2 linked regions of the Tamandua tetradactyla genome follow. The protein of the gene in region 2 interacts with the protein of the main gene of each other region in a biochemical or structural test. Links are inferred from orthologs where the notes say so. Each region holds a gene or a part of one and is shown on either strand. Other genes may lie near its edges. The genes, in order: CTNND1 and CDH1.

The links.
Region 1: the proteins of CDH1 (region 2) and CTNND1 form a complex in vitro, tested with the Homo sapiens proteins (5 studies listed by BioGRID and IntAct, with this or other methods). The link is inferred for Tamandua tetradactyla from reciprocal best matches to the Homo sapiens genes CDH1 and CTNND1.

The regions. Positions count from the first base shown.
Region 1 is NC_135335.1:19,840,440-19,855,254, forward strand, and holds the start of CTNND1 (catenin delta-1), read right to left. Parts: upstream 7,558-14,815; 5' UTR 6,881-7,557; coding exon of another isoform or gene 6,836-6,880; intron 2,531-6,835; exon of another isoform or gene 2,284-2,530; intron 1-2,283. Other genes in the region: BTBD18 (BTB/POZ domain-containing protein 18), read left to right, coding at 9,379-9,502. UniProt on the Homo sapiens protein: Key regulator of cell-cell adhesion that associates with and regulates the cell adhesion properties of both C-, E- and N-cadherins, being critical for their surface stability.
Region 2 is NC_135342.1:62,712,014-62,726,828, reverse strand, and holds the start of CDH1 (cadherin-1), read right to left. Parts: upstream 8,346-14,815; 5' UTR 8,218-8,345; coding exon 8,170-8,217; intron 7,738-8,169; exon of another isoform or gene 7,568-7,737; coding exon of another isoform or gene 7,526-7,567; intron 7,286-7,525; coding exon 7,171-7,285; intron 1-7,170.

The sequences.
Region 1 (14,815 bases), on a different chromosome or scaffold from region 2:
TTTATATTTTTAAGATCTTCACTAGTCCCAATTTTATGTCAGTTGAGACAACATGTTCTAGCCCTTGTAACTCTCCATAATTGGAACCCCAAGAAAAGCACTAGAACTCTAATCCCTCAAAAGGGAAGCCACCTGGAATACAGACCTCACTTACATAACAAAGAAACCAACAGTATATAGGAGTCGAACACAGAAAGGAAAATGCGCACACAACCCATACTCGTCATTCTTTTTTAACCCAAAACCAAAATGAGAAGCAAAACAAAATACTTTAAAAATAAATAAATAAAAGGAGATTTACATATGCCCACCCCTTACTATATTTCCTGAAAGAACTAGTGGAGGTGAGGTTAAAGACAAATCTTCCATTTTTTCACCCGAAAAGCTCTATATAGCATACACTAGTCAAAACGAAGCCTTCGGTTCATGAAAATGGTCCTGGACACTAACTAGGAAGCTTAGGGCAGCTACAAAAAGCCCAGTATTTAAAGTCGGACCCAAATCACCACCACTCATTCATCCAGAACCTATTCTCAAATTGCCTTTGTACTCCTTCAGATTCCCTCATCCTTCCCCCTAAAGGTTGAGTGGGAAACCGACACTCTGGTAGCAATAAGACCAATCTTCTTAAGATCCACCAAGAAACCTCCCTAGGCTGGAGATAAGGCAGAGAGAACACTTGAAAATTTTGGAAAATCTTAAACAAGAACTATAACCCAACACTGTGCACGTTGTCTTCTTTCTTTTTAACGGCACTTGCTATAATCCTAAAATTAAGATATTAAAAATTTACTGTAGCCCTCACACGGATAGTAAAAAGAGGAACAAAGTTCTATTTCCTCCTGAAGTCACAACCTCACAAGGATGCAATCACCTTTCAAGAAATATTCATTCTAGAAAAGAAATTCAAGGAAGTGTTCTAGTCTAAAAAGAATCAGTGGGGGGAAGGGGGTGGAATGACGGGATTACTGAAGATGCATATCAGTTTAAAGCTAAGAAGCAGTTTACACATTATGGCTCATCTTGTTACAATTAGGGCAGTATCTATCCCTAATTATAGATTTCAGACTGATTAACATTTTCAAAGGGAGAAGGAAACCAGTTCTCAGCTACTGATGAGTTGGTTATATAGCCATCTAGATTTCGTATCTTTGCAAAAATGTATTTGCAAAAGCAAAACAAAACAAATCTTAAGATCAAATATAAGATATGAAGCAGTCATTGGCTCTTACAGAGCTCTGATTTCATGATAAATTAACCAAACAGAAAACTCACCTCCAAAAAACAACTTCCAGTTTGGTTTAAAAATTAAAATTCCCCTTGAACTTTCTCAAATACATTTTAAACACTAAAGTGTGTAAGCGGTTTCTCCTAACCTAACCTTATGTAATCCACTGCCCTTCTGGAAAGCATAAAGCTGAAAATATTTTCAGGTGTGTTGCGATTTAACTCAGGTACACTAAAAAAGCATGATTAGAATTTCCTTATCCCTTTAAGCAAATAAACCAAACGTTATTATACTGGCAGATTTAACATACAACACACCCACAAATCTTTGCTATCAAAGGTAGTTTTAGGAGGAAGAAGGGAATGGCAATTCAGTTAACATGGATCCATTTGCTTTCTTTTATAAAGCAAAGCAGGGAAGCTATGGCTACAGGAGAATGAGGCTCCCACCTACCGCACCTGGAAAAGTAAAAGAGGGATCCACCCAGAAACAGCAGCGCTGAAACCGATTTGGGCTGTTCAAACTCGCTGGGGGTGAAAAACACCACCATTTAAACTGCAAAGCTCCCTGCAACTTTCCATTTCCACAAATCCAACAATAAAAGAAAAAAAAAAGTTTTGAAACATATGAAGAACCATCTGTATAACTAGCTTCCGACCCGGACAAATTCCTTTCCCAGCCCACACGCAACATGCCAAAAAAATAACTTTTGGTTTGGGCTCTGAAAAATGAATTATGTTAGCTTAATCCAGAAAAAAAATCCAAAATCAGTGAACCCACAAAATGTAAATTTACAGAGCTGCTCTTAATCCTCTGAATCTATTTATCTCCCTGAGAAGACCTAGAAGTTTGCTTCTAGGTCTCGCATATTTTACTTTTCTTTAATATCATAAAATGCCAAAATCCCCCAAAGTACTGAAAGTAGAGAGAAGAAATAATAATTGCTTAAAAGTCACCCGTCAGCATAGCAGACTCTAGTTACCGTATGACAAAAAATTCAACTGGTTTATCCTCCTTTGCCCGTCTGTACACACATTTTTTAAAAAGGCACACACCTCAAATGCAGACTTCTAAAAACCAATCCTTTAAGAAAGAAACCCAAGGCTTCGCCAATGTGCTGAGAAAAACAAATCCAGCAAAGCAGTTGATTTTTCGCCACCTCTTCCTCCTCTTAGGACCTTTCTTGCTCTTCTTTCTCTCTCTCCCTCTCTCTTTTTTCTCTGAGATCCAACACCTAAAATGGAAGTTGCACCCAGCCAAAGGCAAGGAAGCCTGGGTGGTGACAAACTGATCTGGCAGCCCTACCCCCTCGCTTTCCTAAGTGATGTCAGCCCCTGAGAGCTTCCAATAGGAATCAGGCATAAATCAGGGAGCTGCCCTTATCCAATAGGAAACTTTAATATAGGAAATTAAAAAAAAGAGAGAGTGAAAGGAGGAGGAGGAGAAAAAGAGACAGGGGGAAGTTTTATATATATTTATCTTTAAAGTGGAGAGTCATACAATCTCCGAGGAATTACTGCAGAGCCCCAGGGGGGCTGAGGGAAAAAGGGTGTTTTAGAATTCAAGCCTTCAATTAGATGGTGGAGTTCTCACTCCCTCTTCCTTCTTTTCCAGGTGGGGAAACAGAAAAGAGCTTATTTTATTTGCCTGCTAGTGTGAGGATTGTTGCTTTCTAGCCTAAAGCATTTTCTCATAGACAGCAAAGGAAGGAGAAAGAAATTCTGGAAATGACTACTATTTGTTCACTGAGATTAGGGATGGGTGCAGATTTTGTGAGGTAAACTTAATTTCATTTTCTTGGTTTAATTGCATTAGAACTAATGAGAAAAAAATAAACGTCTCGATTTATTAACAGTTTTTAGTCTCTATAGTTTCAATTTGAGAAGAACTGAATCCACTGAGCTGTTGAGGAAAATCACTGCCTTCCCATTTAATCCCAAATCAAAATAATGTGGATTTGAGGGGTAGAGAAAATGGAAAGCAATAAACACACAATATATTTAGAGGAGTTAACAGTTTGTGTAAAGAAAAGTAAGGCTCGCCCTAAGAAAATTTCATTTCCTTGTGAACTCCAAGCTGAAGTTGATATAGTTCATACATTCTTTCTCTTTTTACACTTAACCTGAATAAATGAATGTAGGGGTACTTTTTCCTGGGTTCAGAGATACCCTTAATATTTTCTTTGTTATGAAGGAGATGGGCTGGATTTTTTATATGTTTGACAAAGATTAGTATTTTATGGTCTTTCCGTGATTTTTAAACAAAGATAATAATGATAAATTAAAGATTTCCTTTTTCTTTCTTACTGAAAAATCTAAAATCTATCCTGTAAACTCTGCCAAGTGAATCTTCACCAAGTTTTCATAACTGGAATAGTGGTTAATAGCACAGGCTTGCAGTCAGGCTGCCTGACTTCAAAGCCCAGCTCTGTAAGTACACTTACTCCAGTGGACCATCATGCACCTTTGGAAAGTTATATATAATCTCTCTGAGCCATGTTTTCCTTAACTATAAAATGAGGATAGTAACTGTAAACCAATATGCATAAAGTTCTTAAAACAAATGTATGGCATATAGTATAAACACAGTAAGAATGAATTATTATTATTATCAGTAACCATTCTGTTCAAAAGCATTCAATGGCTCAACACTGCCCAGAAGTAGCAACCATCCTATCATATTAGAGACACTTCGCACTCATCTCTAACCTCTTAAATACGACAATGCAGATACTATTACCACCATTTTATACATGAAGAAATCAAGACTTAGCAAGGTTAGCAGCTTGCCTAAGATTATCTAAGAAGTGAGTCTTTCATCAGTCTAACTCCAAAACCCATCCTCTGTCTATCACATTATACCGTTCTCAGTCAGAATAAGGCCAAAATCTTTATCTGCTTTCAAGGTAGATACCACTTTTACTCAATATGTTAAATACATTACTTCTGACCTTTCGTTATATATCCAAACTGGAATTCCACTCCTCAAATCAGGAGTACTTTTCAAATCAGGTTCATCTAGTCATTATCCACCTCCGCAGATTTGACCTCGAGTCTCACAGACTCTCATATTTGGTTTACAGTGGTCAAAAAGGACATCTCTCAGAGGTGCTGGAAGAGCACTTGTCTGGTGGCTTTAAACAAACGAGAGTAAGAAATAAACAGCCTTTAAGTCTCTAAGATTTTTTTCTCACTGCTTTATCACATCTTCTTCCTCCACTCTCCATTTACTCCTGGTCCTCTACAGCAAGTCCAAAAGCCAAAGATGACTGTCAAAGGAAACAATCAGCACAAATAATGTTTGTTGATTCACTGGTTTCTAGATCAGAGTCATATTCTAGAATATTCTAGGATTTTCAAGAAATGGATGGATTAGTCTTATTTCCTTCACTTTTAAGTATGTTGCCTTCCTTTTTCTTTCATCTGTGCCTGTATGTTTTCCTGCCTCTCATACCAGAAGTTAAACTCCACGAAGACATGGCCAGTATCTTCCTTGGTCACTGTAGACCTCCAGAGCTCAGCCTTCTACCTCCTACTTAGCAGCAGCTGAATGAATCGCTTAAGTCTCTGTGCTTCCTAGCTGTGTAGTCCTGGACAAGTCATTAAACATTAATAAATTTGTGGATAACATTCAAAATAGAACGATATACAAATCAAGACAGATAATTTAACAGTGAAAAAGACGTTAAACTTTAATTTTCTCTGAAACAGCTATCTCAAATTAGGGCATCACAAGCATTAATTTTCACTGGCTGAGGGAAAAACTGTTTACACTCAGTTAATAGAAAACAAAAAGACTAGTTTCATCTGATTATTTTGATTACCCACAGTGAGTCAGGTCCTGGTGTAGATGTCAAGGATAATAAGATAGACATGTTTCCTGCTCTTATAAAGCTTACATTCTAGGATGGGGAGAGAAGATTAATAAATAAGTAAGATAATGTCAGATGGAATGCTATGCGGAGATTTAAAACAGATTGATGAGACTCCCTTGAGGCTTACTCTAGATAGGATGTGAAGGACAAACCCTCTGAAGAGGTGACTTTTAAACTGAAATCTGAATGATAAGAGGCCGACCATGAGAGGATATGAGCAATGGTAACTGCAAATGCCAAAGCCCTGAGGTGTGGGGCTGAAAATACTGCGTTGGGCAGAACTTGTCAGAAACAAGGATGGAGAAATTGATGAGGATCAGAGTATGAAGGGTTCTATAGGTCAGAGTAAATAATTTGGATTTTATTCTTAAATAGAGGAAAACCTGTGGGGTTAAACAGAATAATTACATGATCTAACTCACGTTTTGAAAAGATCTGGCTGCTTATGTGACAAACAGATTAAAGAGTGGGCAAACAGTGAAAAGCAAGCAGACAAAGGCTGTTGTAGGGGTCAAACTGCAGTGTTGGGGTCTTGGACTATGGTGATAGAAGTAAAAAAAAAAGGAGAGAAGTTAATGGGTTGAGGATATATGTTTTAGAGACACAGGGCTGTTTTTGTTTGAGATGCTTCTTTTCTCCTTTTCTGTCTCTGTTTCTTGTTTTGTTTTTTGTTTTTAATGCACGAAATATTTCAGCCAAAGCTTGGTTTTGCAACTCTCAAAGCTTAACTCCCCCACGCACCACCATCACTACATACATACATACACAGAAACACAAGATACCATAAGATGGTGAAAAATTAGGGGAGAACTGAGAGAGTGGGAAAAAGGTGTTTAAAAAAGAAATATTAGGGTGAGCCACAGTGGCTCAGCAGGCAAGAATGCTTGCCTGCTATGCCAAAGGACCGGGGTTCGATTCCCGGTGCCTGCCCATGTAAAAAAAAAAAAGGAATATTAAGGTTATTACACAGGGCAAGGTGCTGTGCTGTATCTTCTAAAATAAACTAAAACTAGAAAGGCCAAGGAGTGGAGATAAAAATAATTCAACTTCAAAAAATCACTGGCTATCCCCGTAAAGGAAAACAAAATAGTTTTACTCCTCTCTACCCTCTGGTAGCTACACATTACTATGTGTAATGTGTAAAAGTTTGTCATTTTGGAAGCCCTGGGTAGGACTGGCATTTATCATTCCCTTTAGAAATTCCACCAACACAAGATTTCACTAAAATGATGTTAGATTCAAAATAAAAACAAAAACTGATTCCTCCCGACTTCTTGAAAATTAATTTAATAGTGATGGAAATATACCCATAAGGGGATGTAATATTTATATTTTCTTTACAACTTCCACAGAATCACATATACTGATCCTCTGCCAGCCTAATCAAGTTTTGATTCTGACAGCAACAGAGGCCAAAAACAAGCATTGTTCTTCTGCCTTTCTTTTGGGGGTGTGTGCTGCTGACAACTGCTAAATTCCGCTAAGTTTTATGTCCTTTCACAAACTGCTTCCTCACCAAACTGCAACCGACAATGTCTTCTGTTCCTCCTTTCTTTTTCCACCCTAAGAGCAGAAGCCTCAAACTAGGGAAAAATACCAACCACTTGACTTAGAAATATCCCTTCCCACCGCCTCAGCCCTCCCATATGTCAGTGTGCCACCCCCAATCCTTTTTCAAAAGGGATTCGATATCGATCCACTTAAGATCTACTTGAGCACACTTCACTACTCACCTCTCTCTGGTCTGTGCTTTTCCAGGTTCCCCTTCTCTTGGACATCTTCCTTTCCTGGGCCTCGGTGGCGGCTGCTCGGTCGCAACTCACCACGCTTTGTCACCAGGGGTTTTGGACTCGGCCATGTGCATCTAGGGCTGGACGCCACGGGACATGCACCGAGGGACGATACCCCAGACCAGGATCCCGAGCTTCACTCACACAAGGAAACCGCTGGCCAGGAGCTTTCGCACGCAGCCTGTCATTCCGTGCAAATGCTTAATCCTGAGATCATTTCCTTTTGAGGACCAGTCCTGAAAACACCTATTCCCAGACAGACACTGCGCTACACAAATCACCTCTGGAGGAACCACGCCTGAAGGGAATTTCGGGCAATCCTCTTGGTCACCAGTTCTCCGGGGGCCGGGGCTGGGAGTAGATTCAGTGAAACACTCGAATTCAAAACTAGCCCAATGACCTTGTTCCAGAACATTCCTGGCCTTGGGAAAGGAATGTCTGAGCTAGAGGGATGCGGGCCGATGTGTGAGAGAGAGACCACCAAAGACTTTTTCCTCCATGAAGCCCGCAGCCCTTATAGCAGCCTCTTCCAGGGGGAAGAGGGAGCTGTCCTTCAACCGCCTCGGGGCCTGTGACCCTCTTTCCTGGGTGTCCTCCTCGAACTCAGAGAACACGACGGCTTCCCTGAGGGTTCCTCCCGAGCTGGCCCTGGCCATACGTCTCTCCTCAGCCCTCAAGTCCCTCGAGAGTTAGCCTCCCGCCCAAAGCTCTCCTCCTCCTGTGATTGGCTCTCCGTGGAACCTCCAGCCAATGGGGAGGACGTACTCAGGCAGACGTAGGCCGGCTTGGGGGGGGCGAGGACGTCGTCCCCCGCGACGCTCCTCACGCGAGGTAGGCGCGGCGCGTGACTCGTGGTCTCGCCGCGTGGCCTCGGGCGCTAGCTGTCACCGCTGCCCGGTGCATGTGGGCACCGTGGCCCGTGGCCGTACGAACGCACCAGGGAGTGACTGCAAACCCCATGTGGCCTCGAGGTGGCAGTGAGGGCGAGCCCTGAATCCCGGCCCCCAGGATCACCCACGCTCCATTCCCAGAAACCTTCGCGCGCCGAGAGGTCTGTCTTCAAAGGAGTTGGGCCCGGGGCGTGCGGGGCGCCCAGCTTTGCAGGGCCTTTCCTGAAGCCCCGTGCCGGCAACCCCGATTCCCTTGGTTCTGGAGGTGGAGGGGCACTGCCCCGGCCGTCGGCCTACCTGTGATGCTTTGCTAAACCTTTCTGCGGAGAGGCTGGACTTTGGGAGGCAGCAGGGCAGGCTGGACAGAGGACCCAAGCACAGAGAAAACGGCAAGAGTAACTCCTACTGCAGATCGATTCCAGGTTAGGCCTGGGGACAAAGCCGTTTGTCCGTGGGCTGGAAAGCTTCCCCAGGGCCTAGGTTTGGGTCCTTGGGATAGCTGCCAGATCAGTTGGCTTTGATCCAGTTGGCTCTGATCAGTTGGCTCTGATCCGAGTTGCCCTATCCTTTCCTGTCCACTCTTTTCTTTCCTGACAGTTCTGACCTGAAGCATTAGAACCCTCGGTGCCACCTGACAGAAAACTGCATGCCAGTAAAGGGACACAGCTGTGCAGTGAGTGTGGGAATTTCAGTGCAACCAGCTGGAAAAGTAGGAATCCTGAAGTCAGGATTTGCAGTTTGTTTGGGGAGGGATAGGAAGCTTAACTATCCTTGCCCCAGGATAGTTAATTCACCACTAAGGAACCTTAAGGCCAAATTATTTGCCAGTTTCCAGTGTCATTTGGGTTCACTGTGTTCAGGAACCTCTGAGCCAAGAGTAGCCAGTGTTCTTATTTCTGTGGGAGACCTTCCACCACGTCCAGCAAGGCTTCTCTTCTTTTCTGTGCACCCTCTGCTGGTTAACGTGATTAGAGACAAGAAGATGTGTGACTCCCTAGAAATAATTTTATACCCAATACTGTTTCTTCAGAAGTGGTTCATCTAAAGATTATACCCATGGAACTATTGTGCTCCAGAAGAATATGAGTAGGGTTGATTTCCAATGGTAATATGAATGAGGAAGGTTAAAAGATAATAATAATAATGATAATAAAAGTTACCTTTCTTGGGTAATAGTCATGTGCCCGGCATGTACTGTGCTAAGCAATTTTACATGCATTGGCTCATTTAACCTTTAAAACAGCCCTATGACATAAGTACTCTTATTCTTATTTTATAGATGAGAAAAGTGAAACTCTGAGAAGTTAGGCTATTTGCCTGGGATTGTACAGCTAGCCTAGTAAATAACAGAGCCAAGATTCAAACCTAAGCTTATCTCTGAGCTCCTATATGTAACCATTATGATGATATTCTGCCTTCTTAAGATATCATTGGCACAACTTCTGGGATTTTTTCACTCACTCATGTTATCTCTCACTTTCTGTATTTCCCTGCCATTTCAAAGACAAAAGGTATAAACATGCCTCTAAAATATATTATCTCACCACAGGAATCTTATCTGTGAAAACATAGAAGGTTTGTTAAGAGACTACAAACATGTATTCTCCTGCCAGTCCCAAAATCCTATACAGGAACCCACGGTTCCTCCGACTAGCTTTTCTGCAGCTTCATCACCAGCAACAGAGTGGTGTGTTCTGTGATGTCCTTCTGCAGGCAGAAGGTAAGAGACTGGTGGGGACTCAATTGGAAACTTAAATAAGGTTAAATGAGTTTAGGACTAGGGGATGAGAGGGAAAACATGTTATTACCAGATTTTTTTTTCTTAAATTTTTATTTTGAAATAATTTCAAACCTAACAGGACAGTTCCAAAGTAATACAGAGAGGGTAGGCAACAGTGGCTCAGTGACAGAGCTTGCCTGCCATGCCGGAGACCCAGTTCAGTTCCAGGTGCCTACCCATGTTTAAAAAAAAAAAAAAGCCATACGGAGAACTCCAACATATCCCATCCAGAATACCAAGAACCACCAGTTTTAACATTTTGCCACAGTGGCTGTCAGTCCATCTCTCCATCAATCTATTTAGCTATCTATATATCTATATCTATATATTTTATTTTCTAAACATTTGAAAGAGGGTTGTATACATCATTCTCCTTAAATACATAATACTTCATGTCATTTTCTAAGAACGAGGATATTACCAACCACCTGAAGTTAACAAGTTCAAGAAATTTAACATTGATATAAAGTTTACAGTGTATATTCCAGTTTTTTTCTTTGTCCCAATAATGTCCTTTTGGGCCTTTTCTCCTCCATTATTAGATCCAGTTCAGGAGCATGTATTGAATTTAATTGCCATTGTCTCTTTAGTCTCTCTCTCTCTTACGGAAACAAATATAACATGAACTTTCTCATATCAACAGCTCCCAAGCATATCATTCAGTGGGATTAATCACATTCGCAAGGTTGCACTACCCTCACCACCAACCATTACCATAACTTTCCCATTACCCTAAAGAAATCCTGTACCTATTATGCCTTAACTCCCCATTCTCTCACCCCCACCATAACCTATAGTCTACTTTCTGTCTCTATGATTTTGCATATTTTTGCTCTTTCATTTAAGTGGTTACATACAATATCTCTTCCTTTGTGTCCGATTTATTTCACTCAGCATGATGTCTTCAAGGTTCATCCATATAGTAGCATATATCAGAACGCCCTTCCTTTTTTAAGGCTAATAGCCTATACCACGTTTTGTTCATTCATCTGCTAATGGACGTTTGGGTTGATTCTATCTTTTGGCTATTGTGAATATTGCTGCTGTCAATATCAGTGTTTAAATATCTGTTCAAGCCCCTGTTTTCAATACTTTTAGGTATACATCTAGAAGTGTGATTGCTGGGGTCACAGAGTCGTTCTGTATTTAACTTTTTGAGGAACCACCACATTATTTTCCACAGCAACTACACCATTTTACATTCCTACCAACAGTGTACTAAGGTTTCTATTTCTCCACATCCTCACCAGCACTTACTTTCAGTATTTTTAATAACAGCCATTCTAGTAGGTATGAAATGGCATCTCACTCTATTTCCCTAATGGCTAATCATGTTCAGCCTCTTTTCATGTGCTAATTAACCATTTGTATATCTTCTTTGGAGAAATGTCTATTCATGTACTTTACCCATTTTTAAATGTTTGTCTTTCTTGAATTGTAGGAGTTCTTTATATATTCTGGATATCAAACCCTGATGAGATTTCTGGTTTCCAAATAGTTTCTCCCATTCTGTTGGTTGTCATTTCACTTTTTTGATGATGTCCTTTCACTCTCTTGATAATGTCCTTTAATGCACAAAAAGTTTTTAATTTTAATGTTTTAAAAACATTTTTTTGATGTTGCTTTTGCTTTCCATGTAAAGTCTAAGAATTTATTGCCTAAGACAAGGTTTTGAAGATCTTTCCCTGTGTTTTTGTCTAAGAATTTTATAGTTTTTAACTCATATATTTAGATCTTTGATCCTTGTTGAATTAATTTTTGTATGTTGTGTGAGGTAGAAGTCCACTTTCATTCTTTTGCACATGGATATCCAGTTTCCCCAGCACCATTTTGGAGAAATTTTTCATTCCCCATTGAGTAACCTTGTCTGCCTTGAACAAATTTGCCATAGATGTGTGGGTTTATTTCTGAACTCTCACTTATTTTCCATTGGTCTTTATGTTTGTCCTCATGCCAGTACCACACAGTTTGGGTTACTCTAGCTTTGTAATAAATTTGAAATTGGAAAGTATGAGTCCTTCAACTTTGTTCTTCTTTTTCGGGATGTTTTTTACTCTTCAGGTCCCTTTCCCTTCTGTATAAATTTGACTATTAGCTTGTCAATTTCTGTGAAGAAGGCCTTTGGAATTTTGACAGGCATTGCATTAAATCTGTAGATCACTTTGGGTGTTTTTAGCATCTTAACCTATTAAGTCTTCTGTCACTATATCTTTCATTTACTTAGGTCTTCTTTAATTTCCTTCAGTAATAATTTGTAGCTTTCTGAATACAAGTCCTTTACATCCTTGTTTAACTTTATTCCTAGATATTTTATTCTTTTAGTTGCTACCATAGTTATTACCATCTTTGAGCACTATAAGCTACTTAGTAAAGAACTGTTTTTAGGACAGTTACTGTTTTCAAGAGAGAAATTGTGACTGTACTTTTCAGCCTTGTAAAACAAAACTAATTATAGAGTTTCGTAAGCGAGAAATTCTATAAAACGTGGATAGTAATATCCTAAAGTGATGGTTGTGAAGATTAAGAGTTAACATATATAAAGCACTTAAAACAGGGCTTTTTGAATGTGCTAAACATGGTTTAATTGTTAGATGAAACTATTATATATTTTCCATTTTCTCACTAAGCTGTTGCTTAATTTAATTTTTTTCTTGCCTTCAAATCAGTGATTTTTGTTGTTGTTAGAACTAAAAAATTTATAGCTTATTTCCACCTCTTCTCTAAATACTTGAAATATTTAATCAGATGAGGTGGAACCCAGTATAATGTACAAGGCTCAAGTTGAGTTTAATTATTTAGTTTTGTTATTCAGTAAGTGACAAGCGGGCAAGTAACTTCATCTGGGACTCAGTTTCTTTATTTATAATAAGATTATGGCAATCAGCATTGTGTAGCGCTCTACAGTTTACAGAGTACATATGGTATAGTATCTCATTTAATTCTCTTTTTTAATTGTTAAATTTAACATATACAAAAAAGCAATAAATTTCAAAGTACATTATAACAAGCAGTTATAGAACAGATTTCAGAGTTGGTATGGGTTACAGTTTGACAATTTTAGGTTTTTCCTTCTAGCTGTTGACAATGGAGACTAAAAGGAGTATCAATATAATGATTCAGCAGTCATACTTATTTGTTAACTCCTATTTTCTCTAACTTCTCCTTCTCCTTTGATCTTTTTCCCAGTCTTTAGGGGTTTTTAGACTATGCCCATTCTAACTTTTTCATGTTGGAAAGGGCAGTTGATAATATGGGATGGGGATGGAGCTAATTGATGTTCCAGAGAGGCTGACCCCTCTGGGTTTCAGGATTTATCTGGCCTAGGAACCCCTCTTGAGGTTGTAGATTAGTAGAAAGTAATCATAGTGCATGGAATTTTTATAGAGTCTCAGAGCCCTAGGCGTTCTTTTAGGATTGGCATGAATGGTTTTGGTTGAGGTTTGCAAACCATAGTAAATAGCAATATCTAGCCGAAGCTTATATAAGAGTAGGCTCCAGAATAGCCTCTTGACTCTATTTAAGCTCTCTCAGCTAACTTTTTTTTAAAACAACAAGAAACTGTATTGAATTACAAATTTAAAAATGAATGACTTAATTTAAAAGTGGGAGTAATTTTACTCCTTTCTTAAACTCATTCTTTCCAAAAATGCACTTTATTTTTTAAGTAACAATGCAGTAGATTACTTTGAACTCACAAAGTAAAAATGGGCTGGTGGCAGGGGGCCAAATTTTACAAGTATGGGTCTTAACATGGATGTTTAAATATTGTTTTCTGTATTATATCAAACTGATTTGCAATAAGACATGGGGAAAAAAGGGGGAGTGGAGGGGAGTATCAGGCATGGACTCAGGTCTCTTTAGCAGCATCTGACAGAATGCACATTGAGTGGGATAACATGTAGCCTTTGTAACAGTGGCCTTTCAGAGGCACCAGAGCAAGTGCACAATCACAGAACCTGATAGAACAAATGTACACCCCACAACAAAAAGTACAATTTAACTGCCAGAGCTGTATATAAGACAGCTTGCATTGCAGCCCATACCCAGTCTGTTCAACCTCATACAACATGTAACAGAGAAAATCAACAAATAAAACTCAGGACAAAAATATTTACCTTCAACCTCCATATGGAAAGACCACAGCTTTAATAGCTTATACAATCCTTAAGCTTACTCCTAGGTCAGTGTGGATTTCCAAATCAAAGTCAAGTCTTGAACTGTTTACATTAACTACTTTATAATAAAATGCTAACATTTTCCTCCCAGCATGTCTTCCTATGAAGGACAAAAATGGTCGAAAGCTTTCATTCTTTGCCTATGCTGGCATTTATGAAAAAAACATACTAAACTATGACAGCATTCTTCTGCAAAACTAAAATCAATTACAAAATGAAACAGGCAAACAAACAACAAAACCCAACTGATTTCAACAAGGTAAAGTCATGTTTCCAAAAGTAAAATCTATTACGAACAAGTACATGTACAAGAAATTACAAGAAACTATGATCATGGTTAGTTACAATTGCAAAATATCTAATTATCCCATACTTGAGAACACTGCAATTAAAATCAAATTCATATGCTGATTCAAATATATATACAATTCAGATAAGCTGGTCAAGTATTATTTGAATACACATCATATTTGATAAACCTAAAATTATATTACCTTTTCTTCTTCTCTGATATTTGCAGGTACATGCCAAAATGGAAATAATGTAATTTCCATTTACGTATAAACAGAAAAGAATAGCATTTTTAGTGTAATGTTTCATACTGTAAAAAAGGTGAGGTACATTTTCCTTTAAGAAGAAAAGAAAAAATGGAGTGCCAACAGTTTAACTGATAAAAGTTTAATATCAACTTACTTATAAAAATGAAAAAAGTATTCTGAAACAGATACCATACAATTATTATATGGTCTCCCTACTGCTGTCTGAAACAGAAGGCATTTAAGGAACGGATGTTATGTCAAAAAATAGACTAACCCAAGGGATGTATGCTGCTTTAAAAATCTGATTTGTCAGAAAACTAGTTGCTTGGCAGAGTTTTAAAGCTAATTACAAAATCCATTTTCTTAATAGTCCAGACATCTTGCCAATTCTCCCAACTCAGCAGAACTTCCATCGATTTCCACATTTCTTACAGACAACAAATGTTGTCATTAGTTCATCAGCACTATGGGTTTATACCTGAATGTAAGTACAGTTGTTTTTACATTTGCCACATGTGAACAAGTTAGTCTGGGTTCCA
Region 2 (14,815 bases):
GGAGACAGGTCTCCAACCAGATCTCCACTAGGCTCAAGCACTTTGAGTCAGTCCTAGTTGGAACATGAGTTTGCATAAGACAGTTAACCCCCTAATTTTGAATGCTAATTTAGATTTTCAGGGTTCTAGAAAGTTAAAAGAAAAGCCACGTATATGGAAGTGAAGGTCAAGAAGTGAAAAGGCTGAAAATCTCCCATAAGCAATTGTTTTTTCAAAGGTAAAAAGAGGCAGAATTCTAGCATCATAGCTAAAATTAGGAAGATGCCAAGGGAAGGAGGGAATTGTTTCTCTTTGAGGTGTCTCAGGTTTCACTGGGGATGCTGAGTTTGACCACAAGGCCGGAGAGGGGAGTGGATAAGGGCACAGGTTTTGGGACACAGAAGTTCTGGGCTGTAGCCCCCAGCTCTGCCAGTTCCTGGTAGGGTGTCCAACCTCTCTAGGCCTCAGTTTCCTCTTACAGAGTGCTGGCTAATGACCTTGGACCATGTGACAATGAACTGAACTGTCAAGTCTGCAAAGTCCTTGGGCGGGCTTACTAGGTACAAATATCTGAATTTTTATTTGTCAGTCACCTTCAAATAAATGCTCTTGGCATAACCCTTCTATCATTTTCATCCTCCAGTCTGTGGGATATATGAAAAAAGTCTGATAGGCTGACATAAAAGTGAAGGAAAAAGATCCTGGTCCTATTTAAACTCACATTTAAACTGGTGCCTTAATGCACGTCCAAGCTCTAGACCTGAAATTCCCAAATGGCTCTGAGAACTCCATCTGAGTCTTTTAGACATTCAACTCAACACATCTCTAACCAGGAACTCATTTTCCTCCCACAACTTGCTCTACTTCCTCCTCTATTCCCAGTGTTGGGGCAAAGGAACATTCTAGAAACTACTGAAATAACTTTTGCCTTAGAACCACCTAGGTGCTGAAAACCTTCAAATTATCTCCAAATCAAAATTGTTTGTCTTCAGAGACACAGGCACATAACACCTCTCCCAATCTCGTTTAAAACGTCCACTGGAACAGTGGGAAATTGGCTGTCTCAGGATGCCAGTGGGGTAAAAATTAATACAGTCCTCGTAGAGGGCAATTTGGCAATATCTGGCAAAATTACAAATGCAGATATCTGACCCAGCAGGCCCACCTGTGCAACTCATCGTCTAAATATACCAGAACAGGTGCAAAAGGATATAGGTACTAGTTTATTCCCCACACCCAGGGTCCATCCACTGGGGACTAGCAGATATGCTACATCCATACCACACAGCTATAAAAACAAAAGAAATGTGGACGTTCTTTTTGTACCAATATAGAGAGAATGTTCAGATAGATTGTTGGAAGTAAAGCAAGGAACAGAACAGTGTTACCGTATGCTATCCTTTTATGTATATGCACCATATATTATTAAATTTACCTAAAGAAATAAGGCTATTTTTGTGTCTCTATAAGGATACAGAAGAGACTAATAAAAATTAGTTACCTGTGAAGAAATAGCTACCTGTGCCCTGGGGAAGAACTGAGTGAAGAATGTACAAGGGTGGGAAGAAAACTTTCATTGTATTCCCTAACACACACACGTATTTGTATATATGCAAAAATGTACATAAAAAAAAAACAGGGATGCCAAGATTTGCCTACTAAAAGAACAGAAAGAGAAAACTCTCCATTACTGTTATTGGACCAAAGAACAAACACCAAGACCTAAGGCCCTGAGGTAGCCTGGCTCAAGCTGGCTGCTCCTTGCACCCTGGAACATTTTCCCACCCTAGCAGCATTCTCAGACTGTGCTGATATTCTCCACTTAGGGGGGGGTCTCTCAGAAATTTTCTGGAATCCATTTGAGGGCAAGGGCTGGGCCTTAATCAAGTTGGCACCCCCAACACTGGGCGCACATAAGGGAAAGTTCTGTGCACTTGCTGATTCTCTGGGGTCCCCTGCTGCTCCCACTCCTGCCCACTCCCCTTCGCACCCACAGAGCTCTCGCTCACTGGCTGGCAAGACCGAGTGAGGCCCAGCCTTATCCCTTCCTGATTGAGGGTACCTTTTGATCTGTGGCCTCCAGGCTGGTCACTGGATAGCCCACACCCTGGCTGGCACCAGATATTTACTCATCTGGTGTAAATACAACCCATGGGCTTGTCCAGGGCAATGAATCAATGGGGTGGCAGCAGACACCTAGGGAGCTTTTAAAAATGCTGTCTAGAATCCCACCCCTTGTTAAGAGACCCTAGCTCAGTGGATTTACAACAGAAAATGTATTTGAAGTGATGTAATGTGCTCAGCCATGTGGGTGAACCATGGTCTCAGGGGGTGGGACACAGCACTTTTGGCATCTGAAGAACAGAGGTATCTTCAGGTATCTGTATTATGAAATACTTTTTTTTAAAAAAGGGGGGGGGCATCCTGCTTTCCCACCCCCAGCTGCTGCTGGCCTTACTCTTCCGGCATCAATTCTAAATGATATTCCTGAGCAGGTTCCCCTTTTCTTACCCCCCAAGGGGAACCTCCTTCAGCCCACCCCAAGCCAACTGCTTAGTGACAAGCAAGAAAACACCACAGAATTTCCTTTCCTAACAAAAAGCACTCTGGTGGAGTCACTGTTTGCAGAGCAGAGTTTGCTTAACACAGAAGCAGAGAGTGTGAGGAAACTGGTTTGGCTGGTTTGCCGTGTGGGAGGGAGCACAGGGAAACATCTGAACCAAAGGTAAAACACCGGGAGAGTCTCAAAAAAGAAACTTCCAAGTCCTCTAGTGTGGGGGTGGGGGTCTCATAACTATGGGAGCTCATATTTAATATTCATTAAGCACCTGACACATATCCTATGAAATAAGTACTATTATGTTCACTTTACAGATGGGGAAGCCAAGGCTTGATTAGCAAGGGATGTTACCTGGATTTAAATATAGGCAATTTGACAGAAGAACCTTCTAAATCTGGGGGGCGATGCCACCAGGGTCTTGGGTAGAAGTGGGGATTGGAGATAAACAAGAGAGAGGGAAAGAGAAAAGAAAAAGTGCGGAAAGCTCTTCCAGTAGTAATAAGCATAAGCTGGGTTTATAAAGGAGGAGTTTAAAATTTTAAAAAGGCGGGAGGTGGGGGGGAAGAAAGAAAAAAAGAAAAGGCGCCACCACAAGACTAAAACTGAAAAACACTTAAAAATTACTAACAGCCCCTTTCCTCCATTTCGATTCAGGTTTGAACATTCAGTATACAGTATTCCCAGGATACTTAGTGCTGCGAGCTTGGCTGTAAGAGCAACTGGGCACAGACCAAACTCTTTGCTGCGCATACAGTCAACCTCAAGGGCTGGCCCCAGGCCAGAGTGTTTGAGAGCAAAAAATAAAGCCAAGGTCTGAGGGGTAGTGACTATTCATCCATCCGTTCATTTCTTCAAAATGAGTGCCTACTATAACCCTAAAAATTATTAGCCACCATTTAATGACTTTTCATCTTTATACATTTCTGTTCTGTCATTATTTCCTTCATTCATTACTGTATCCCAGGGTCTAGCCAGCACTGGTACAAAATAGACATTCATATTTGTTGAATAAATGAATGAACATGCATATCTGATTAGACATTCATATTTGTTGAATAAATGAATGAACATGCATATCTGATTCTCATAGCAAGCTCATAAATATTATTATTCCCCCATTTTATGGATGGGGAAACTAAGGCTCAGAGAAATAAAGTGACTTATTCAAGGTCATGTATTTTGTAGCACAAAGTCAAGTCTGAATCTTTCACAGACTTTATTATTCAATGAACTATACTAAGCAAGCCTACTGATCCCATTCCGACTCCCTGGAAAGCCTAATGTCCTGAGAGATGGGGGTTAAGGCAGAACAGAAACCCAGAAAGGTCGAGTCTGAATTGTGACAGCTGCCTCTTGGGGATTTTAGGCTTTTGGCAGCTTCTGGGAGATGGGAGAGCCGATTACTTCAGCGTCTGCCTTATCTGGGGCTCCGCTTGGAAGAGAGAGTGTAACAGACACCAAGGTGAGCCTTTCCTTCCTAAAGGCTCACCCAATGAAAAGCCCTGGAGAGGAGACAGGGAGTTCCACAGCCACCTGGCAAAGAAAGGTGGGCAGGTCCAGCAGTCCCCAAGGGGAAGGAGCTGCATCCAGCTTTCCTTAAATGGCTGCGGGGGCCCAGGACCAGGACTTTTCCCGCCTCCGCTCTTGGTGAGACACAAAGGCAGGGGCAGAAAGGCAGCCAATGAGTCTTTCCTAGTAAGGGCTGCATCCACCCCTGGCACAGACCTGAGTAATTGGGGAAGTGATGCTTAAGAATCTGAAGGGTGGGGAAACATCTGATGATGTAAGGCGATCCCCAAACAGGTTTTTTGTATTTGTTTTTTAAGCCCAGTTTAATTAGAGGCCCTGGATACTGCTTCTGCCACCCTTTCATCACATCTTTTAGAAAGGAGGGGAAATGGGTGTATTTAATCTACACATGTGGGTGCCTGTGAGTTAGTTAGTTACTTATCAAGCAGCTGAAGCTCAAACCCAAAACACAGGCCCTGTTTGTCCAAGGCCAGACTGTAGGGGAAGCAAAGCAAGGAAAGGATTGGATCAAAAGCCTGCCTGCTTTTCTTGTGTCCAGTTCCCAATACTCCCCACCTCTACCCCCACTCAACTTAAAGCTGTATTCACTAGGCTAATACTGCTAAAATTTCAAACTGTCTTAACAGACTGCGTTTCTCAAACCAAAGTCCTAAAGAAAAGGAAAACACTAATCACAAGCTCTGAATAACTCATTTGGTTTGTTGTTTTTTTTTTTTTTTTTTTAATGTTCTTCATTCTAGAACCTGGAGAGAAACCAATGGAATAAATAGGCTGAGATGGTGAGATCAGCCATTCCCTAGGGCACAGGAGTGACCCCAGCAAAACGCCCTGAGGACCCCTGAATTGGGTCAAAACCGATGCTCTACAGTCACCCAAGGAGGAAAAAAATGAAAGGTTCCATATTCTCCAGCTCCCATGCAGCAAATTCTCCCCAAAGCCAATGTTAAAACCTGGTGCTAATCTCTTAGACCTCCATTATCCTGGACTGTCCAGTGAGAGCAAGACCACCTTCCCAAACCCTGGCTGCCTTGTTAAATCACAAAGCTAGTCCCTAAGGTCAACTGTGTCGTTTTCCAAAAGACACTTCCATCCTTCATTGATTCAATAAGGAGACCCTATGGTGCAAACAGGCCAAACAAAAAGTTAAATCAGGAGATCTGTCGAGTAGGGGTGGGGTCTGTGGCTATAAAGGGAAGAGGAACAAATCACACAAAAAGCCTGTGAAGGACTGGCTGAAGCTGCCTCTCCCGCAAAAGCCACCAGCCACAGCCCTGCCCTCTGCCTCCCACCTGGTCTGATCCATCTCTACCACCACCATCTCCTCTAAGGGGTCCCACCCAGGTCCCACCCGTCGGCACCTCTGTTCTCCAGGGCACAGATAGTCTTCTTCACAGGATTTCCCCAAACAGCTTCCTTTGTTTGAAATGACTGAAGAGAAAAAGGACAGGAGAAAGCCCAACTGTGGTTCCATGAGCAGATTACTGAATGTCTGAGCTCCCTCAGATGGCTGTTGTGAAGACTAAATGAGGTAAAATGTAAAGCACTTGCCCCAGAGTGTAGTTCAAAAGTGAAAACCAGGAGCTGCTACTAACAACAATGATAATAATTATTAACATGTAATGCTATTATTGGCCAGAAACTATGAGTTTGGGAGGTAGAAACTATGAGTTGGGTAGTAACAGAACAACCCACCCTTGAAGCTACCAAGTGTGCTCAATTGTCTTGGTACAGGAAAACAGACCACCAACAGTGTCCATCCACAGTTCATCCCCCCCCAAACACACCTGCCCCACTCTTCAAGCCTGGGCAAAGTCTGCCTCCTCCCAGAAGCACGTCTTCATTGTCCATTGACTCCACCAAAATACTCCAGGCTGCCCACACCCTTTGGCACCTAACTTCCCATGTCCCAGTGTCCTAAGGAGGCCTTAGGACATTCTCAGGAACCTGCTACAATATGAAATACTGAGACCAAGGCTCGAGTGTCCCCATTCCTGCCTCTTTTCTATCCACTCCCTGGTGCCCAGCACAGGCAAGAACTGAGAAATTGGTCAAGCCGCCGCAATATCAGTGAGACAACATTTTCTTTCTGACCCAAAAAGAAGCTCCACACAACAAAGCTGGGGTTCGGTAAATATGTTTAATCAATTGAGCCTCAGTTTCTCTGGGGGAAAATGCCACCCGCTGTGGGACAACTTCCAAAGGTCCAAAAAAAAAAATTAAGATTGCTGAATCACAGATGTTCTAAGAAATGATCATGATGATGAATAAGCAACTGTGATGATATTGTGAATTACTGATTATATATGTAGAATGGAATGAGCATATGTCAAGAATGTTTGTGTTTCTTTCTTGTAATTTTTTTTAATTAATAAAAAAATTTTTAAAAAGTTAAAAAAAAAAAGATTGCTGCATCATATTTTTCACTTGGTCAAGGACTGGAAGAATAAACACAGTGGATGCCTGAGGGGAAATGTGGTGGCTCCTCTTTCTAAAAGGCTTTTCTTTACTGTTATGATACTCCCACAGTTAACTAAGATCATGAGGGAGGAGAAAGACGTTTGATAAGAAATAAGCACCTAGGAATCAGTGAAACTAGAAAAGAAACCAATCCTTCCCTGGCTCCCACCCCTGGGCAAGGGTGAATTGGAACAAAGCAAACTCTAGAAACCAGGCTATCACAGTGATAAGGTCTAGAAGGGCATTGGGCGTTTGTGTGTATTTTCATCCTGAGTCACAGCCACCGAACTTTTTTTTCAAAAACCATTATTCCTTGAGGTACCTGCATGGAAATGATTTCATCTCTATGAGCAAAAGCCACAGCCCCAGTAACCAAGTGAGGGTTCCTCGGTCATCCCAGAGATGGAGCAGAACTATGTCTGGGAGTCAGAGCCCAGTTTTGCTGACCGTGAGCCAGTGGACTCTCCCCTCCAAGCCTTGATCTGCTCGGAATACCCCCCACCTCCCAGCGGGCTTTTCCCTCCCGAAATGACAGGCCATCTCTAAAGTTGTCAGGACAGTATGAGACACATATTGAAGACCTCTAATAAGTGCCCCCCACCCCCCCAACCGCAGAGGTCAATCACGGTAATGCGCGTCCCCACCTCTGCCCAGGACGCGGCCTCTCTCCAGGTGCCGCCGGGGCACCGGGAACGTGTAGCTCTCCGCACCAAAGCCAGGACGGCAGGGCTCCGGCTCCTCGCAGAGCCTCGATGAGACCTGGGGGAGGGGAGGAGAGGTGTAGGACCGGGGTTACTTGGAGGGGGTCCCCTCCTGCCCCCACCGAAACCCACAGCGCCGCCCCTCCCTCGCTCGAGGCGTCGGGATTGTGCAAGGACACCTCCAACCCCACCCCCACCCCACCCCCGGCAGCGGCGTCATCCTCTCGCTCCCCGAAACCTGCAGCGGCCAAGTCTCCGGGAACTCGAGAAAAGGGGGAGAAGGGGCGCGCTGGGTCACCTCCTCACGACCTAGTCCCCTCTTTCTTCCGGTCTCTTTCATGCTTTTTCATTTCACCGGAGGCGTCTTGACTCTTCCCGACACCACTTTCCTTATACCGGGAAACGCCGCCAATCCAAAGTCCAGGTTCTCACACAGGAGGCGCCCCAAGCCTTCTTGACCCCACTATCCTTATCCCAGGGCGCCCCACTCCTAATGGGCTCCCCTTTCTTCACCCGGGAGGTGCCTTTATTTCTCTGAACCTCCCTTTCCTTACCTCGGCGATTCGCCTCACTACTCCTGGCTTCTCTTTTACTCGCACCGGGGCTCCCCCTTTTCGGCATCCCGAGCCCCACCATGCTCCATGCTCCAACTGCCTGCCCCAAGCCCATACCTACTCCCGGCCCTGGAGCGCGGGCAGCTCGGGGCGCCCCCCGCCGCGGATAAATGCGGGAGGAGGCGGGCAAAGCCTCCCTCACCCTCACGCACTCCCTCCTCCGCCGAGTCCAGAGCGCCGAGCAGCTTCCAGGCCGTTCTGCTGCAGGGGACCCAAACTTTCTCGGAAAAGGGGGAAGTCGATGACAGGAGAGAGGAGGGGACGCGGGGCCTGGGAGCGGGTCGGGGGACTGGAAGGTGTCCCCTCACAGCGAGGGGAACCGACGTACCTGAAGCAGCAGCAGGAGCGCGAAAAGGCTGCAGCGCGGAGCGCCCATGGTGGGCCGGGCGGGTGCCGAGCGGGGTCAGGTGGAGTCGGGCTGGGCCGGGCTGGGCCGGGCTGGAGTCTAACAGTACTTATCAGGCTCACAGGTAGTCCGCGGCTCGGGACGCCACTGAGGCCGACAGCGCTGCCGCCGCCAGGTGAGCCCCGAGGCCTCCGCCCCTGGCGCCGCTGATTGGCTGAAGACGCACCTGCCTCGGCTGCAGCCAATGAGCGGCGCGGCGCGGGCTACAGCTTCCACAGGCGGGCAGGGGGCGGGCAGCCCGCCCACAGTCCCGCCACCGCCCCGCCCCTCGGCCCCGCGCTGACAGGGTCACCAGTCGCTGTGAGGTTGGAGGTTGGAGGGTCAGCAGGGACTCGGGGCTGCACGGCTCTGATTCCTAGAGAGTTCGAATCCCAGTCCCGCCGTGGGTGACTGGAGTTTGAAAAGACCTTGCCTCTTATTTAGTACTGTTTTGTTACCTGCAGGTCTCTATCGGTTAATGAGTTACCAAATGGATTCATTAGGTCAGGAACGCTTCTCCCAGCCTCAGTTTCTCCACCTTCCAAATGAGAATAATGGTCACCAAAGTCCCCCCCTAGGTTGTTGCGAGTTTCCCATGCAATTAATAAGGCCACTGTTTCCTGTAAGATAAAAGCCATGCATGGCTGTGAGAGATAATAATAGTACTAGGCATTGAACGGACTGTGCTAAGCATTTGACTGAAGTTGACCATCTCATTTGATCCCTTCTCAAAGCACCCCAAGGACAGTGTCACTGTTCCCATTTGATAGATGGGGCAACTGAGGTATAAAGAGGTTAAGGAGGCCAGTAAGAGAAGGCAGAGGACCAGAACCCACCTTCAGGGCCCTTGCATTGAACTATTATGCTTTCCCTCTTGGGAAGCCAGGCAGTCTTCCAGCTGGAGCTGCAGTTTTCAAACCATCCTTTAATGTTGACCTGGAGGAGATCCCTTTAGAGATCACCCAAACCTGTTATTTGCAAGTAACTTCCCTAACATCATGTTAAAGCTGAGACTAAAACCCAAGATCTCATTTCCAGACTGTGGCTCTTAACAGAAACCACAGCCACCACCACCTTCTCTTGAAAATTCTGTTCCCAGACAATTTTAGGATTGCAAAAAGAATAGACAGGATTAACGTTAGGTCGGACAACTTCCCTTTTCTGTGGCCATGGTTTGGCTACTTGGGAAGAGCACCTCCTTTCCCTCCATCCTGCAAGCTTGGGTCAGAACTACAAAACAGTATGTTCACTGCGCCCTAGCCATGTGACCTTGGGCAAGTCATTGTGTTCACCTGTATAAACGTATTGAAATGAACAGCTAAATCACTAAACTGAGTACTTGGCACATACATAGTAGTAACTGCTCAATATGTGGTTGGTGTAGAGGTTGTTCTCTTGAAAAGCCTACCCACCTCTTTCCCTTCCTCCTTGGGAAAGCCATGCTTGGAATTCTTCACCTAAAGCTACAGCTCCTCTACCCCACAGTCCCCTCAGTTTTAATGGGTTTCTGAGCACACACCCAGGCCATTTGGATTGCTGCATCTTGGCTCTCTCTGCCTCTCAACCCACCAGGAGGCTCGGAGCAAAAAGGCTCCAGTATTTCCTTTCCCACCGAGGCTCCTGCCCGGATTGTGCATTAAACAAGATAATGGAAATACAGAAAGAGGCGTTTCCCCCATGGGGCAGCCTTGTCAGTTTATTTTTTTCTCCCAGTTATGTAAAAATGCATATTTTATACCATCGCTCGGCCCGGGGAGCCTTTAGGGCTTTGCTCTCTTCCACCCAGCAAGCCCTGGCCTTGTAGTTCCGTGGCAGTGCTCATCGACTCTTCCATTACACACTGATAATTCAATAAAAAGGATCTTAGAAAACAATTAGGGGCAGCGAGGACAGGTTGGGCCTGATGCTCTCATCAGACTTCTTGGCAAGTCTGAATCCTTCTCCAAGATCCCAAGGGTGGGTCGTGAAGAGCCGTCCCCCATCAGCTGTCCAGGGTGAGGAGGGAACGTGCGGGGTTCCCTGTGTGGATGGCAAGGTGTGACTTTGGGCAACACTGTGAATTGCCTCCATTTCCTCTTTAATCAAACAAGGACATTAATAGCTAGTTGTAAGGATCAGATGAGCGGGTTTAGAGAGCCGGCAAGCCATGCTGTGGGCGGCCTTTGCTCTCAGTTTGACTGAGAGTTCAAATTCCAGCTCTGCGACTAGCTGGGTTGGATAAGTCACTTTATCTCTCCAAGTCTGGATTTCCTCATCCATAAAAATGTTGATATCACTTAATTCACAAGGTTATTGACATCACACAATTCGCAAGGTGATTCTAAGTGCTCTGTTAGTTAGCTATGCGCACTCTTTGCCTGACACATTCCTATCCCAGCTGAAGGTAAAATTGGGAGCCTCTTCATCCTCAAACTCTGCTTCCTCCAACCCCCAGTATATTAAAGGCTCCTAGGATCTATCTCCCATTTGCTAGGAAAACCTCTTTCCACTGGATGGCTAGCCATTTTGTCCCTCCCATGCTCATTTACATTTTAAAGAGGACTCTGGGGAATGACCTTGCTTGTTTCAAAGGAATGAAAGTTCTAGATCTGGTAAATTCTATGCAGGGTTTAGCCTGGTGTTAATCCATGGTTTCTGGTGGGGAGGGGGTAGCCAGAGGAGGGGGTAACGTGTGTATGTGTGCCATGAAAGCCTTGAGATTGTATGCGAACCTGTCAGTGCAGGTGGCACTGCCTATTGCTTTCATTACCTTCTCAATTGGAGGCAGATCAAATTGCAATCCAGGGGTTGAGATCCCTGAGGGCCCGTTTAGTACTAAAGGTGAAATTCCTGGCATGGACTGGGAAAAGAAATGTTGACGAGAGTCCTGGTCGGTGCTCTCTAGATCACTCCAGGTAGGTGACACCAGCCACTGCAAAGCGAGCATGCACCATGGAATGACAAGCCTTCTCCTTCCTAGTTGGGCATACCGCTTGGCTGGACTTTCATTTCCTGGGTTTGGGGAGACTGGTCTGTTCATTCGAGGAAGGAAAGCTAATGATTAATTCCCCAGGCGGAACTGTCCCTTTCATCTCAGTGCTGCCGGGCCGGGCCGGCGAAGGGACCGTAAATACGGAGCTTAGGTTGGGAGAGAAGCGCCTCTCCGGGCCTCGGCTGAGAGCAGCCGCACCCCAGCCCGCTGCGGACGGAGGATTGCACCCAGGCCACGGGGGCTCCCGACCTCACCGGTAGAGGAGGCTCCGTTTTAAAAGCTCCAGGAGGTTCCTGCCGTCTCTGCCGGGCCGGGCTGCCGGCCAAGCACGCGGGGGAGGGAACTGGACACCCCACTTCAGCTTTCTGTGAAAATGGTGGTAACCGATAGGGGTACCGCCCTTTGCAGCCGGCCATTCACTTCCGCACAAAACATTTTTATTTCAAACACAAAAGTAAAGAAAATAATCTCTACTTTGTACCGTGTGATGAATGCCTCCATCATCCAGCTTCAACCAGGATCTTTTGTGGTTTTGTTTTTTTTTTATAGTTTTGTGATTTGTTAACTTTCGGATTGTACCGTGTCTTGTTTCATCTCTCCTCCTTTTTAATATTTATTTTTGTAGGATTTTGTAGTGCAAACCCCAGTTAACATGCCATTTCCCCTGTGACTATTTCACTATGCATCTATAATTGAGGAAGAAGTTTCTTTCCACATAACCATCATGCTGTTAGGTAATAGCACCTAATAAAATTAACAATAATTCTTCAACAGTGTCTAATGGCTAGGCCATATTTTTAAAACGCCTTTTAAAATATTTATTTTTTTCTTTTTACAACTTATTTTAATCAGGATCCAAAATATAGCCACACATTGCATTTGGCAGTTTTGTGTCCTAAGTCTCTCTTTACCTGTAACAGTCTTCCCATCCTTTTTAGTGCAGCTTTATTGAGGTATAATTGTTTATATTTAACGGTACCATTTGATGAGTTTCGACATATACATATGCTGTGAGACCATCAGCACCGTAAAGATATTTAACATACCCATGTTTTAAAAAGCTTTTGTTTAGACATCATTCCAAATTTTATTTGGACATCATACTTTTTCAATAGCATTAATTTTTCTTTTAAGAAACCTGGCCACTTGTCCCATAGAATGTCCTGCATTTGCATTTAGAATGCATCCTCACAGTGTCATTTAACATGTTCCTCTATCTGTATGTCCCATATTTCAGTAAACTGTTACTCAGCTTTAGAGGCTTGATTTAATGTAGATTCAATTTCCAGGCAAAATATTTCATAAGTTTGTGGGTGTTTCCCATGGCATCGTATCAGGACACACACAATTGTCTGGTCGACTCACTTTCAGGATGCTGGGAATCAGCTGACACCATTATCAATTTCCCCATCATCCTTTCACCTCCTGGCTTTAGCACCATGCATGATGACCGCTCAAATCCATTATCTCATTTAGGCAAATAAACATTTATCAAGTACCCCCATGCACCAGGCACTGTATTTGAAACTGGGAACATAGAAATAAAATATGGTCCCTGCCCTCAGAAAGTACATAAGGTAGTGGGGGGTGCAGACCAATAAACATTCATCCATTTATTTATTAAATATTTATTGAATGCCTACTGTGTGCCAGGTATTGTACTAAATGCCAATAATTGCATTAAATTGTATGATAGAATCGCTACCATTTATTGTAACTCAAACCTTACTTTATATGCATTATTTCATCAATGCTCCTATGGCTCTTTGAGTGCTGTCACTAGATCCTTTTTTCAAATTTGGAAGCAGAGGCTGAGAGATAAAGAAATTTGCCCAGTTTACAGAGTAAAAATGACAGAGCTGGAATTTGGAAGCCAGGCCCACTGGCCTCCAAATCCTCTTCATCTCCATGTTTAACTGCTAAAGGTCAGGACATGCATGTCTTTATTTCTTCCTCATGCATGTCTTTATTTTATTACCTATCTAGCCATACACTAGATAAAGGGGATATTAGTCACGAGGTTTATACAATCACACAGTGTTTCAGTTTGCTAAAACTGCAAGAATGTGATGTACCGGAAATGGATCGGCTTTTTCAAAGGGGATTTATTACGTTACAATTTACAGTTCTAAGGCCATGAAAATGCCCAAATTAAGACATTAACAAGAGGATACCGTCACTCAAGACAGGCTGATCATGTCCAGGGTTTCTCTGTCACATGGCAAGGCACATGGCAATGTCTGCTGTCCTTCTCCCCCCGGCTTTTGATTTCAAATGGCTCTCTCAGCTCCTGTGGGTCTTTCTGGCTTTCCCTGGCAAGTGTTCCTTCAGTATCTTCAAATGTCTGTGTCTAGGGATCTGCTCTCAGTATCAGCTCTCCAGGTATCTTTGGCTCTTAGCTCTCCATGTTCACAGAGATTTTTTATTGTGGTAACATGCATACAACATAGAAGCTCCCATATTAATCACATTCAAGTATACAACTCAGTGGATTAATTGCATTCACACTGTTGTGCCACCTTTACCACTATCCCTTGCCAAAACTTTTCCATCATTCCAAATAAAAACTCTTTATTCATTAATCATCACCTCCCCCTTCCCGATCCCCTCGGCTCTTGGTTACCTACGATCTACATTCTGTCTATGAATTTGCATATTCTAAATATTTCAAATAAATGGAATCATACAATATATGTCCTTTTGTGTCTGTCTCATTTCACTCAATATGATGTTTTTAAGGTTGCATGCGACACTTAACTTGAACTAATTCAAACAATAAGGCCCATTTGTTGCCTCATGTAACTGAAAAGTCCAAAGTAGGTCCTAGCTTCAGCAACATTTTGATCAAGGTTCAAGCTGCTTTTCTCTGTGGTTTCATTCTGTTTGACCTGCCCAAATCTCTGTGTTGGTCTTCATTCTCAGGCTGACTTCCAAACAAGAGATATTATTCATGTCATCAGTAAAAATCCTGAGATCCATTCTGATAGGACTAGGCTAGGTCACAAACCTAACCCCAAATAATTATTTTGTGATCAGGCTGTTGGAATTGGCTTTTCCTAGGTCACTTGCTCTACCTTTAGTGCTATGCTAGAGCTAGCTTCCGTAGAAGGGAAAGGAATGGATGCTAGGGTTGGGGAGGTGAACAAGCAATAAGGAACCCGATGTAACACCCCAGTAAAAGGCAGTATGAGATTTGAATTGAAGTCTACCTGTTTCCCAAAGTCATAGTCATTTGACTAGAATTCCTCTCATTAATCATTAAGAAATGGTTTCTATTATCTACTGCTGCAATATAAACCATCCCCAAACTTGGTGGCTTAAAACAATAACAAATTATGATTTCTCACTTTTCTGCAGTCTGAGCCGTGCTCAGCTGGGTGGTTATTCTGTTCCACCTGGTACTGGCTGGGGCTGGAAATTCCGAGATCTTTCATTCACACATCTGGTGTCCCAGCTAGGGTAGCTGGAAGAGCTGTTTGCTGATAAGCATCTCTCTCCACGTGGGCTTTTCAATGTAGTCTCTTTACATGGTGGCCCTGGGCTCCAAGAATGAACATTCCAGAAGGATTCCAAAGGACCAGCCTCTTCTTGTGTCCTCTTTGCTAGTTTTCATTGACC